Canis lupus familiaris: one gene and its partners. The protein of the gene in region 2 purifies or fractionates together with the protein of the main gene of each other region. This does not show direct contact. Links are inferred from orthologs where the notes say so. Each region holds a gene or a part of one and is shown on either strand. Other genes may lie near its edges.

What was found. Proteins that work in one complex are often made in the same cells at the same time.
Region 1: the proteins of DYRK1A (region 2) and CDC27 purify together in Homo sapiens (affinity purification with mass spectrometry; 3 studies listed by BioGRID and IntAct, with this or other methods). This does not show direct contact. The link is inferred for Canis lupus familiaris from reciprocal best matches to the Homo sapiens genes DYRK1A and CDC27.
Region 3: the proteins of DYRK1A (region 2) and LZTS2 purify together in Homo sapiens (affinity purification with mass spectrometry; 8 studies listed by BioGRID and IntAct, counting the BioPlex papers as one, with this or other methods). This does not show direct contact. The link is inferred for Canis lupus familiaris from reciprocal best matches to the Homo sapiens genes DYRK1A and LZTS2.

What each region holds. Positions count from the first base shown.
Region 1 is NC_049230.1:17,584,116-17,588,415, forward strand, and holds the start of CDC27 (cell division cycle protein 27 homolog), read right to left. Parts: upstream 2,801-4,300; 5' UTR 2,640-2,800; coding exon 2,613-2,639; intron 1-2,612. UniProt on the Homo sapiens protein: Component of the anaphase promoting complex/cyclosome (APC/C), a cell cycle-regulated E3 ubiquitin ligase that controls progression through mitosis and the G1 phase of the cell cycle.
Region 2 is NC_049252.1:32,322,102-32,325,601, forward strand, and holds part of DYRK1A (dual specificity tyrosine-phosphorylation-regulated kinase 1A), read left to right. Parts: intron 1-934; coding exon 935-1,241; intron 1,242-1,743; coding exon 1,744-1,868; intron 1,869-3,500. UniProt on the Homo sapiens protein: Dual-specificity kinase which possesses both serine/threonine and tyrosine kinase activities. Exhibits a substrate preference for proline at position P+1 and arginine at position P-3.
Region 3 is NC_049249.1:13,868,816-13,872,921, forward strand, and holds the start of LZTS2 (leucine zipper putative tumor suppressor 2), read left to right. Parts: upstream 1-1,306; 5' UTR 1,307-1,463; intron 1,464-1,892; exon of another isoform or gene 1,893-2,414; intron 2,415-3,510; coding exon of another isoform or gene 3,511-4,106. Other genes in the region: proline-rich protein HaeIII subfamily 1-like, read right to left, coding at 3,511-4,106. UniProt on the Homo sapiens protein: Negative regulator of katanin-mediated microtubule severing and release from the centrosome. Required for central spindle formation and the completion of cytokinesis.

The sequences.
Region 1 (4,300 bases), on a different chromosome or scaffold from region 2:
AGATGCTGTCCCTGTATATCTTATTCCAAATCAAAAGTATTCCTTCGTTATCTAAATGATCTCTAAAATAGTATTATGTGTATAGTACCCACTTATTATACTGATTAAGGCAATTTTTACAAGCCTTGTTTACTACTTCATCTGACACTTCTGTGAAGTTCTACCCCCAGGAATAATTGATAAGTCCATTAATGTCTTTTTTTTTACATCAATTTCATCAGGTGAGTTTTATAAATATCCAAATTAACACTAATTGAAGTCATTTAGGCTAGTGTCTTCCCCAAACAATTATATTAAAAATAATTGACAGAATTTCTGCCTCCTAATAGAAGAGATGTATGTAAAGACTCCTATATAAAGTAATGCTTTTCTATGAGAGACAATTTGGAGAAGGAGCTAATATTTAAGCTTATGTGGTTTATGAGATTGGCTATTCCACAGTAAAACTTTAAAGAAAAAAAACTGCAGAAAACAGTTGCTTATCTTTCCTCTCAACTTTTTCCTATGCCTAGTAATATCATGATTCCTTCAACAATTTTCCAACTTACTCTTCCTTTACAAGTACAATTACTTAGCATAGTTTTAAAAAACCACATAAACAGTATCTGTCCTATTTTTATTTTCTCCCTAATTCTTCCCATTTTCAGCCCTATCCCCAATCCGTCGATCTTTATCATCATAGCTAAAATGGCTTTTTTCTCCCACTGCTCCAGATCCTTTCTTGAGTGGATTCTTTTACTATAAATTACAACCAAAATTCTCACGTAGTCATATTGTAGTCATAGTCCCCAAATCTAATGGACAAAGGTAGTGGGGGGTGAGGGTGGGGACGACAAAATTGACTTTCAAGCCCTTGAAAATCCTGAAGTGCCTTACCACTAAGAGTACTTTAAGGAAAAAAGAGTAAACCTGATGGGTGGTACATCGAGGAAAAGAGTAAACCTGATGGGTACATCGAGGAAAGGAAAAGAGTAAACCTGATGGGTACATGGAGGAATAGGCTACATATTTCTTTTCTTCTCCATGTTTTTATACAAGTTGAAATTGTCATTAAATAGTGGTTATAGGCTAACAATGAAACTAGTTTATCATTTGAGAAGACTTCTGGGGCCAGAGAAGGCAAATGTATCATTAGTTAAGACAAAATTACAAGAATATGAAACAGAAATTAAACAACTTGAGTGATCTGCTTATCCATTTAAGAAGGTACAGATAACTTCTAATCCCACATTAGGCCTCAAAAAAATAATCTTAAAAGAGACTTCACCAGTAACATGAATTTCGATGGCAAGAAATAGCTCTGGAAGCATTGATACAACTTACAAACATAAATTTCCTGAGAGAGAATCCCACATTATATTAGTTCAAATACCAAGAGCGACTATATGTGAAGAGCTGTATGTAAAGAAGAAGCCAACTGGGAGAAATTTCTATTTCATCCTGTGAAAGAAAAATTAAGGAAATACGGAAGTGGTAATCTATTTAGAATATTTATCATTTGACATCACAGGCCTATTAAGGGTAATATGAAGTGATTTCTAAAATCGATTTGCCTTGTAACTTCAAAATAAAGAAAGCCCATAACTCAATGACAGCAGTTGGTAGAGGTCAACTCTTCTATTCAAACCAAAGATCCTATGGTGAGTGGAAAGTCTCCCAGACCTGGTCCATCAGGAAGGGACAAAAGATTCAGTTTCTTGAGATGGCGGGGGGGGGGGGGGGGGGCGGCGGATGACTTGGCACTGCATCACACTTCAAATCCAATAGGGTTTCTCCCATGCCAACAGAGCACTGTGCGTCAAAGCATACCCTGGTGTCGTAAGCACAGTGAAATGGATGTAAAAACCCTGCTCGGTCTTTCATTTTCCAAACGCCTTATCAACATGCACAACAAAACATTCCTGATCCCCATCACAGGTCACGGGGGAAACCCCCAGATTGGCCGTTGCCACCCCTTCCCCCCACCCCCAGAGGTGCTTGCCCCTCAGCACTGGGCCTTGGAGTTCTCTTCCCAGATCATTGTCCAAGGGGGGTGTAGGGGGGGTGGAATCCACTGAGCAAGAAACGCACAACGTGGGCTAGGACGTCTGTTGCCAAAACAGAAATGGATTAAAAATACCGATCCTATAGTCCCTCCACCCTCTCCCAGAGCACAAAAACAAAACCAAACAGCCCCTCCGCCAATTTGCCCCACCATTACGAAGGTGGCACAACCTCTGATCAGATGTGCTTCCCAATCATCCTTTGGGCGAGGGAGCACCTGGGGCGAGTCTCCGCCGCCCCCCCTCCCACCCCTCTCCTCGTCTCTCACTCGGGTCGGGGCCAGGCCCCTGCACTGACAGGAGGGGCTGGCCGGACGACGGACCGGCGGGGGAAGGAGACATTATCGCCGAACCGCGCTCACACCGCGGGGGGAAGCAACGCAGGACCTGAGCTAACACGGCTCGGGCTGCGGCCGAGGCCTCGGAGCCGACGAGCAGGCAGGCAGGACCCGGCAGCAGGGGAGGCGGGAGAAGCAGCCGGGCCTAGGCCGCACCAGGCCGCGGAGTGGCCATACGCGGCTTCCCGGCCGAGGCTGCGAGCCAAGCCTCAGCGAGCGACGTTATCATTACCTGGACGGGTTCCTGCAGCACCGTCATCCTTGAGGCTCAGGCCCACTTTCTGCAGTGCCTCAGGCCCCCCCCGTAGCGGCTCCGGCCCGGCCAGCCCCGGCTCATTTAAACTCACCAGCGACCGTTACCGGGGGATGGGGGAGGCCGAGCGATTGCCGAGTACCTCCGAGCGGGACACGGAAATGCCCGAAGTGGAGAGATCGGCGCGGGAGCCAGACGGAAAAGCCCGAAGGAGGCCGGAAATGCCCGAGGCCGATCGGCGGAGGAGGGGACCGTTGCCGGAAATTACCGAGAATGCCCGGATATTACCGACTCCGATCCAGAGCGCAGTTTTCTCCTCTCGGCCACGCCTTCACTCACGCACGCCACGCCCAGTCGGCCCCCCGAGGTTGGGCCACGCCCAATCGGCGACCCTGGGCGTGGCTTGCTGAAGCGGGCCGGGTGCGTTACGTGCCCCGACTACGGTCTCCGCTCGCCGCTCCCGCTCTCCGGATCAATTGGTGTGTGGTAGATTAAGCAGGAGGGTAAAGCACGAGAGTTTGGGGCTGACTTTAATCAAGAAGTGTTTTTTTGAGTTTAGTTCGTTCCTCATTCCAGAAGTACCTATATAGCACGGCTCAAAGAGAAATAGGAAATTTGGAAGGATTGCCGCCCGTCAAAGACTTGGTTTGGACCAGGGCTGTCCACACCGAAGACGTCACTACGATGTTACGTGATGCCCGTGATGAGTGACGTCAAAATTAAGAGGAGAGGGAACTAAATTGGGATTAAGATGAGGAAAGTTTCAGGGAAGGGAAAAGGGAGACAAACTGGATTCTGAAGGATGGGTAGAATTAGAAGAAAAGACTGGTAAGGGAAGGGACGCAGAAGTGAGATCAGTCCGGTTAGAGTTAAGGCATTAGCTGGAAATAATTACTTAGGTGACCAGATGATGGAAAATCTCAGAAGGCTGACAGAATTTTTTTTTCCTGATAAGGAAAAATTTCCTGATAATTTTTTTTTTCCTGTGGCATATTGGGAAATCCAGAGGCTTGATTCTAAATTTTACCTCTGGCACTAAGTTTTAAGTACCGAGGCAAGTCACATCTCTGAACATCTATTTCCTTAGTCTGAAAAAAAAAATGACTAAAAGAATTAAATGCATGGATGTATGTTGGTGTGTCTAACACACATAAGAGGCTCTCTCAGATTTCCTTCCCATTCCCCTTACCCACCCCCACCCCGCCGAAATGTGTGAGCCAGGGAACTATTACAATTTTGGGGTTTTTTGGTAGATGATGAAAACACGTTTAGAAAGTTAATTGTCCAATCAAGACATCTCAGTTGCTAGGTGAGGAACTCATGGTATATCCTGTTATGTAGGAATTTCCCTTTCTGGGTCTCTCGTTTTATGCAGATGAAATCAGGTTAAAATGGATTACTTCCCTTAGGTGATGTTGAACGAAGGGTTGGCTTGTTTTGTTTTGCTTTGTTTTGCTTTGTTTTGTTTTGCTTTTGTTTTGTTTTTGTTTTGTTTTGCTTTTTTTTTTTTTTAATACTAGCTAAGAGAGCTATATCTTTCACCACCAGCCATCTCTATTAACTGCTTCTGTATTCTGGGCCCTGTAAAGGGTAAGTGCCAAGGTGATTTTCTGCCCTGTGCCTTATTTTTTTTTTTTTAGCAAGATTATGAGTCTTCTAAATTGTCC
Region 2 (3,500 bases):
TGGTCCATGATACTCTTAATGGGTTTTTTAAATGAAATGATTTGTGGCCTACCTGCCTGGCTTGTTCTTGCTTTTAGAGTGAGAGCAGTGGTATCTTGAAAATGTTTCCATTTGTCACTAAAAGTAAAAATCCATTCTGAATAAATAAGGGATTTTAAGGGTTATACTATCATCTGTTTAAAAATGAATTTTCTGAAAGTCTCAACACATATTATATCTCCATATTCTAAAGGGAGGCATAATTTGTTTTCAGTTTATCTAAATATGAGTGTCAGGGGGCACCTCCCTGACTTAGAGGAGCACTCGACTCTTGATCTTGGGATTGTGATTTTAAGCCCCACATTGGATGTAGAGATTACTTAAGTACATAAAATTTTAAAAAATGAGTGGGCAGGGTTAAATCAGTGGATCTTAACTTGGAGCCTACTTGGAGTGATTACCACCATCTCGGAGAGCCACCATGATGAAAGAAAGTGCACCCATGGTCGCTGGTGCATCAGGCAGAAAAGCGGCTCAGAACCATTTGGCCAGAGCCAGTAGTCAGCACATCTCCTTTATAAAGAACTAGATAATAAAAGGTTTAGGCTTTGTAGGCTTCCATTGCATCTTACTTGGTTTTGTTTGTTTTTATAACCTCCAAAAGTATAAAAACCATTTATGGCTGAGGCTGTACAAAACACCCCTAAGCCAAGCCATTGTTTGCTGAGGCCTGGGCAGCATCTTTAAAGTCATTTTTGGTCTCAAAATTATTTTGAATTTCTCTAACTACAAGTGCGCTTGCAGTAGTAATATGTGAAAATACAGAGGATCTAATTAGAAAGCGGTCTCTTAAATAAGGGTCTCTATATAATAGATTTGAGCATATTTAAAGTTTATGTTGGCCTTTACATATTCCATCAAATTTAGAGAAGCCTTTTATCTTTCTTCTCTTTAGGAGTATAAACCACCAGGAACCCGTAAACTTCATAATATTCTCGGAGTAGAAACAGGAGGACCTGGTGGGCGTCGTGCTGGGGAATCGGGTCATACTGTAGCTGACTACTTGAAGTTCAAAGACCTCATTTTAAGGATGCTTGATTATGACCCCAAAACTCGAATTCAACCTTACTATGCCCTGCAGCACAGTTTTTTCAAGAAAACAGCTGACGAAGGCACCAATACAAGTAATAGTGTGTCCACCAGCCCCGCGATGGAGCAGTCACAGTCCTCGGGCACCACCTCGAGTACATCTTCAAGCTCAGGTCAGTTCTGCTAACTCTACGTTCGGCTTGGAAGTCTCGACTGTTTTCTTTACGAAGGGGGGCGGGGCGGTTATTGTAAAGTCTTTTAAAAATTCGTTGATCGGGATAGGGAGGAATTACTTTTCCTAAATCTACTCTCTGTAGTTAGTAAAAAAATTCACTGCCCCAAAGCTCCAATACTTAACTATGAATAATAAATTGTGCTGGGCAGTGGGAACCAAAACTCTTGATTAACCCAAAATTTTAATTGCTTTGTAAATAGAAATACTTTGTTCATATGCTTGAATTTTCCCCTAATTCAACCAAAACCAAACGATCATGTATCAGCTCAGTGGCTGATGTGAAAGAACTTAGAGGATGGGATAATTTTCTGATACACTTTCAGGTTAATAGAGCTTTTTGTGTGTGATGTACTTTCAGTTTTAGTGTTCCAGTCCTAGAATCTATACTTGAGCATAATTAACTTCAAACTTACAAGTTGTACTGTGTTATGATCCTGAAGGTGGATCGTCGGGGACGAGCAACAGCGGGAGAGCCAGGTCGGATCCAACGCACCAACATCGGCACAGCGGCGGGCACTTCACAGCTGCCGTCCAGGCCATGGACTGTGAGACCCACAGCCCCCAGGTGAGCTTGCTCGCCACTCCTCTGTTATCCGTCCCCTGCCGTGGCCAGGCAGCACAGTGGTGGGTGGTTGTGCCATTTCCCCCAGAGGCTCATGGAAGCTTCCTCACAGGGAATTCTCACCTGTTTGTGACTAAAGAAACATATCTGTGCAATTTTCTACTTCGTTATTTAGAAATAGCTAACATTTCTTGGGTGTGTCCCAGCCACTGTTCCAGTTGTTTTTCCCCAGCAGCATTTTGAGCCTTACACTGTTCGAGTTTTCCTTTTATATTGGGAACTGCACTTGATGGGTTAAATCACTTTTCCTGGCTTGTGATCTTGATTACTGTGCTCTGGCTGCTTCCATGATCTTTTATCACTAATGGTCCTTGATTCAGAGTCAGTATGTGGCTTGAGTTTAACCTCCATGTTGGTTTGGTTTGGTTTGGGTTTGGGATTTTTATTTTTGTTGTTGTTGTCTTTTTGTTTTTGAGGGTTTTTTGTTTGTTCCTTTGTTTTCTAAATTTGTTAAAGAAGAGGCTGTAATTGAGTAATGTTTGTTTTTTTTTTAAATGGGGTGAAACAGATGGTGGTCGTAAAAATATTTATTAAATACTCTGTTAAGTAATAAGTGAGTTGATACTAGGTATTACATTATGGTGTTTTATAATGAGAGGCCAGTCAGTGTATTACTTGATGAGTGAGGTAAAACCGAGGTTGCTGACTGTCATCCCCCATTCTTGTGGCTGGGGCTCCTGAATGCTGCAGGAGAAAACCACTCTTGGTACCATTGTTAATTAGTATTCCCCTGCGCCCTCCCAGCAGGCTTCCCATTCCTCATCACCTCTTGTCTTTCTCGTTCTCTTTAATCTTTGTTTCAGTTGCTGCTTCTACTCTTTGGAGAAACCATTGACCTCCTCTTTGCCCTTGCTCCTTGCTGCATGAGGAGAGTCTTCAGTCAGAAGCACCTCATCCAGCCTATGTGTGTGCTTGTTCACCTCTCTGAGCTTCTCTCTCCTCAGAAGCAGTCTTCCTTCCTGGCTGAGGCCAGCCCCCCCTCCCCCCCTTGACCTCCTGTTTGCTCCTCCTACTTGCTCAGCCTCTGGCTCCTACAGCTTACAGCTTCTCTTCTTCTGCTTGATTTTTCTTCCTTTCAGCATGTGGTCCTCCCCAAGTCTCTCCCATCTGGAGCCGAACCTTTCCCTGGCCTATATCTGGCCCTACATTCTGCTAGTCGGTTGGGGCAGGGTCGTGGGAGCTCTGTTCTACCCCCGAGGAACTCTTTGGTCTGCTCCAGCTGGGCTGCCTACGAGCCCAGGATGCCATTCCTGCAGCGTCAGCTGTGATCGCTGCTGAGGAGGCCAATGGGCATCCAGACGCTTGCCTTTTTTTATTCCTCCCCCACATTTACCGTGTTAGCTCCTCCTTGCCCTCTGAAGTGCTCTCCTCCTTTTTGCCTTGACAGGGTATCTCCTGACATTCCCCCACTTCTCTGGCCTTTCCTTCTTGTCTCTTCTGCATTCTCTTCTGCCCACCCTTACTGATGACTGCGGTACCATCTTTTTCTTTTCTTAAACTTCATTCATTATTCATTCCAAAGAGTGCACACACATGTGTGCTGAGCAAGGGATGGGCAGAGCGATGGGGAGAGGG
Region 3 (4,106 bases), on a different chromosome or scaffold from region 2:
TGGTCTATGCCTCATCCAGGGTCTGTAACATTGAATGTCAGCCATGCCTTCCAGATGTACACCACCAGGTCATTCCTACCTCTAAGGATTCTGGTCTACTGGAAGGCCTGGTGTGTTCTCAGAAAATCCTTTAGCTATTTCCATTAGGGGACTTTTGTGAGGTCTCTGTGAATTGGGGATAGAAGGATAGATACGCACTTGCCTGTCTTGCTCCACCCTCCTAGCAGACATCCCCCCCCCACACACACACACACAAAGCACAAATCCGAATGATGGGAGAGGGGAAATTGACACTCCCCCAACCCCACCCCGTACACACACATTCCATTGCACACCTGTCTTAAACTCACATCAAGATTAGCCAAAAGTATGTCTAGAAGTCCCTGGAGCCTAGAAAGCAGTAGGGGATCCCTGGGTCCGGAATAAGGTCCCTGGTAGCCACTGTCCCTGTACCCAACCAGAGTGGATTGAGGCAAATTACCCGGGCTCTTTTTCCAATCGGATATTAATCACCCTGAGAGTTTAGGAAGGGCCTGGCCCAGCTGGGTCCAGCTGGATCTTCAGCCGTGTCTTCAGATTTAGTGTCGTTTTTTCAGCTTTCCAGTCGCTTCTTTACTGCAGGTGAGTTGGAGAAGAGATTAAATTCACTGGACTCCTCCTGTGCAGATACTCTTGCTGCAAGTAAGGCTCAGATACCTGTAGATGACAGTCTGTGCCTTCCCACAGGCTGCCTCGGGTGCCACAGATGGAGCCCTAGGTGCCTTCCTGCAATACAGGGCAACTTCCTGTTTGTGCCTGTGGGTGGAACTTTATGAGTGTAAGGGAAGCCTGGCCATGCTCTGTGGGGGGCCAGAACTGGCAAGTATGCTCACCTGGGTAGGCACCTACTGCGGGGAGGGGGGAAGGGGCTGGCTCTGCTAGGGCAATTCCGACCAGAGGGTGGGGCGGGGTCTGTTTTAGTGAAACCCGAGCCTTCTTTGTCTGCTTCCTAGGGGTTTTCCTTGTTCCTGGGGAATGAGCTGAGAGCCGACCCGGTTTGGCTCCTTACAGGGTAGGGCAGGTGGCAGTAAAGTCCTATCGTCAACTTGGTTAGGCCGGCCAGGTAGTTTAGCTCCCGGTCACGTGCTGTTCGCCCCTTTCCCCAAGTCGAAAACCAAATCCAGAAAGCTGTGAAGTCGGAGGCCAGAGGGGCAACCTGGCCACCACCGAGCTACTGCTGGGCTGGGTACCGGGTCCGCCGTAGAGGGGGTGCTGGGCAGACCACTCCCCTCCCTGGGTCGGGGGCGCGGCCTCAGCCGCCCCGCCCCGCCCCGTTCCACCAGGCCGGGCCCGGCGGGCGCCGGGAGTCCGGAGCCCGGAGCTGGCTGGGAGCCGGCAGATCTGCGGCGGAGAGGTGCCGGCGCTCGGGCAGGAGCTGGGCGGGAGCGGCAGCGGCAGCGGCAGCGGCGGCGCAGGTGGCCTGGGTGAGTGGTGGGGCCGCGGAGGTGTGGGCACTCCGGCCTCCCGCACATGCCGGGTCGGGAGCGAACTTTCCCGGTCTGGGGAAGCTAGGGGGTGGAGTGAGGAGAGGGTCCCACACTGGGGTCCGGGGGGCCCGCAGGCGAGGAGCCTGAACAGGGAACCGACACGGAAACTCACGCCAGTGGGTGCACACGCGCGCGCGCCGAGACCCACGCACATAGGACACACGTGCACTCAGGAGAGGACGCGCCCAGTGGGTTACCCTTGCAGTCCCTGGAGCGGCGCCACTGGCCCGCACGGAGCCCCAGCTGACAGGGTGCTCTGCTGTCCCGTACTTGGCAGGGGTGGGAGAAGGGGCTGCCCGGTGACCGCCGACGGGGGCGGGCCGGGTGGGACACCTCCGGAGGTTCCTGCTTCCTGGCCGCCCACAGGTGAAGACTAAGACGTAAACAGGCGCCGAGCACGTGATCGCTTCGCAGACGAGTGGGCTGTGCTTCCCTCGCCCCCGCATCAGGGCGAGGACCTCCCTCCCCAACCCTGGGCGAGTCTCCGAGGTCTCCTGTCGGGCCGTATTCCATTCTCCGCCTCAAGAAATGTTAAGCCTTCCCCCTGAAATGGGAGCACAACGCCCCCTGGAGTCCGGGTAGCGCAGGCCTGGAGACTCTTGGGCTCGGTGGGGTTACCTGGGCTCCTTGCCTTCCTTCACCCGAACGAACACGTTCGTGGGGCCCTCATCCCGGAAGGTATCGGAGGAGGGCGCTATTTCGGGTGGCAGTATACGGCAGCTCCGGCCCCATACCTCCAGTCTGGGGAGCAGCTGCCTGAGAGCCGGTGGGTCCCTTTCCTACCACCACCCCTCCTTGCAGAACTGGGAGCTCCTCCCTTCAACTGTAGGAGCCGAAAACCCACTCGTGCGAGAGTGGGAGTCCTCCTTTCCCAGAGAATGCATAAAGGTAAATGTCCTCGAAGTACGGGAGTGGGCCTATCCCCCTCCCCTAGAAGGGAGGATGAGCCCCCTCCCCCAGGGAATGAGGGAGTGGGCAGCGGCCCTCGCCTCCCTCTCTGCCCCACCCTCCACCCCTACACACACGCTGAGCCCAGCTGCTGCCTGAGCTTCCGGGCTGGCTGCCAGAAAGGGGAGGAGGCTCCTGGTGCCCCAAGAGGCTGGGATCAGGGCAAGGCCAGAGGAGGGGGTCTCTACTGGGGAGGGGGGCTCAGTCTATTCTTATGTGGCTCAGGGTCTGGGGTGAGCCTGAGGGTGGTTGGGCTATGCCTCCCTTTCCAGGGAAAAAGAAAGAAAAACAACCCTTTCCATAGAGCTAAAAATAGAGCTGAGAGCTGGCCAGGGCTGTGGCCTGGAAGGGGGGGATGCTCCTTCCTGGGGCAGAGGAGCTCTGGCAGGCCTTGGCCTTGGGGGTGGGGATGCAAGTAGGGGGTGGGAGGCCTGTCCTTGGCTGGGGGTGTGGGCATCAGCTGACCTGACCAGAGACCCCTCAGGGGGGAAAAAAGTCTTTGTGGTAAAAAATGCTCGTGAAACACCATGGGTATGTGTAAGTTGTCTGACTGAATGAGACCACCAATGTGTTAAAGATGTTTAGGAGAGGAAGCCCATTTAAGATTGTGACTCGGTAGGAAGGACTCTGAGTCCTTGTGAAAGATTGTGCACAAGGTGTGTGACACCCAGTGTGTCTGTGTGTAAGTTGGCCTGAAAGATTATGGAAGGAAGGAACCTGGAATCACGTGATGGAGGAGACTGTGATTGTGGCTGCGTGGGACCGAATGTGGGAAAAGTCGTGTGGGTGTTAGGAAGATTGTGTTGTTTGCGAGAGGGTGAGACTCTCTGTGACCCTGAGAAGACCGAGGGATGTTGTCAGCTGTGGGACTGGTGTAGGTTCTGACTGTAGGTTTGGACCGCCTCACCCCAGTGATTGTCAGGGGGCCAGGGGCTGCCTCTCTCCCAGCAGTGACCTCTCTTAGCAAATGATTCTCAGGGAAGGTTGGGGAGCAGACGGCCGCGCGCGAGGCAGGCCTGGGCTCGCGGGGGGCAGGCTACAGTGCTGGGCAGTCCGGTAGGGGCCCCCAAAGTTGCTGGGGTGGCGGTGTATCCTGCGAACGCGCCGCCTGGTGGCGCCGCCTCCGCAAATCCGAATCTGCCTCCCTCCACCGCTGGGGGTGGGGCAGGCACGGCCCGAGCCCGGGTCCGCGACCCGGCCCTGGGGAGCAGGGGCCCGGCGGCCGGGGCGGGTGGGGGGGCCGGCCCTCCGCGCCCCGCTCGGGACTCCGAAGCCGGAGTGTGTCTTGCGGGGGAGGCTTCGACCGGAGGAGCGGAGGGGGAAGGGCGGCCGCCGTGGCGCCGGGCCCTTTGTGCTGGAACAATGACCAGCTGCCGCTGGCCCCGGGGCCCGGGTAGGGGTGGAGGGTGACCCGCCGCCGCCGCCGAGTCCCCGAGCCCACCGGGCGTGGGGGGTCCCGAGGCCCGCGGCGCGGCCCCGCGTGACGCGGGGTGCTGCGCGTGTCCGCGCCGGGGCGGGGACGCCCCTCGGACCCCTCCCCCGCGCTGCGCCGCCCACTCGGGCCGGACGGGGGCCGGTCGGGCCGGGGGCGCCGCGGAGGCGGGGCCGGGCCGGGCCGGGCCGGGCGCCTCC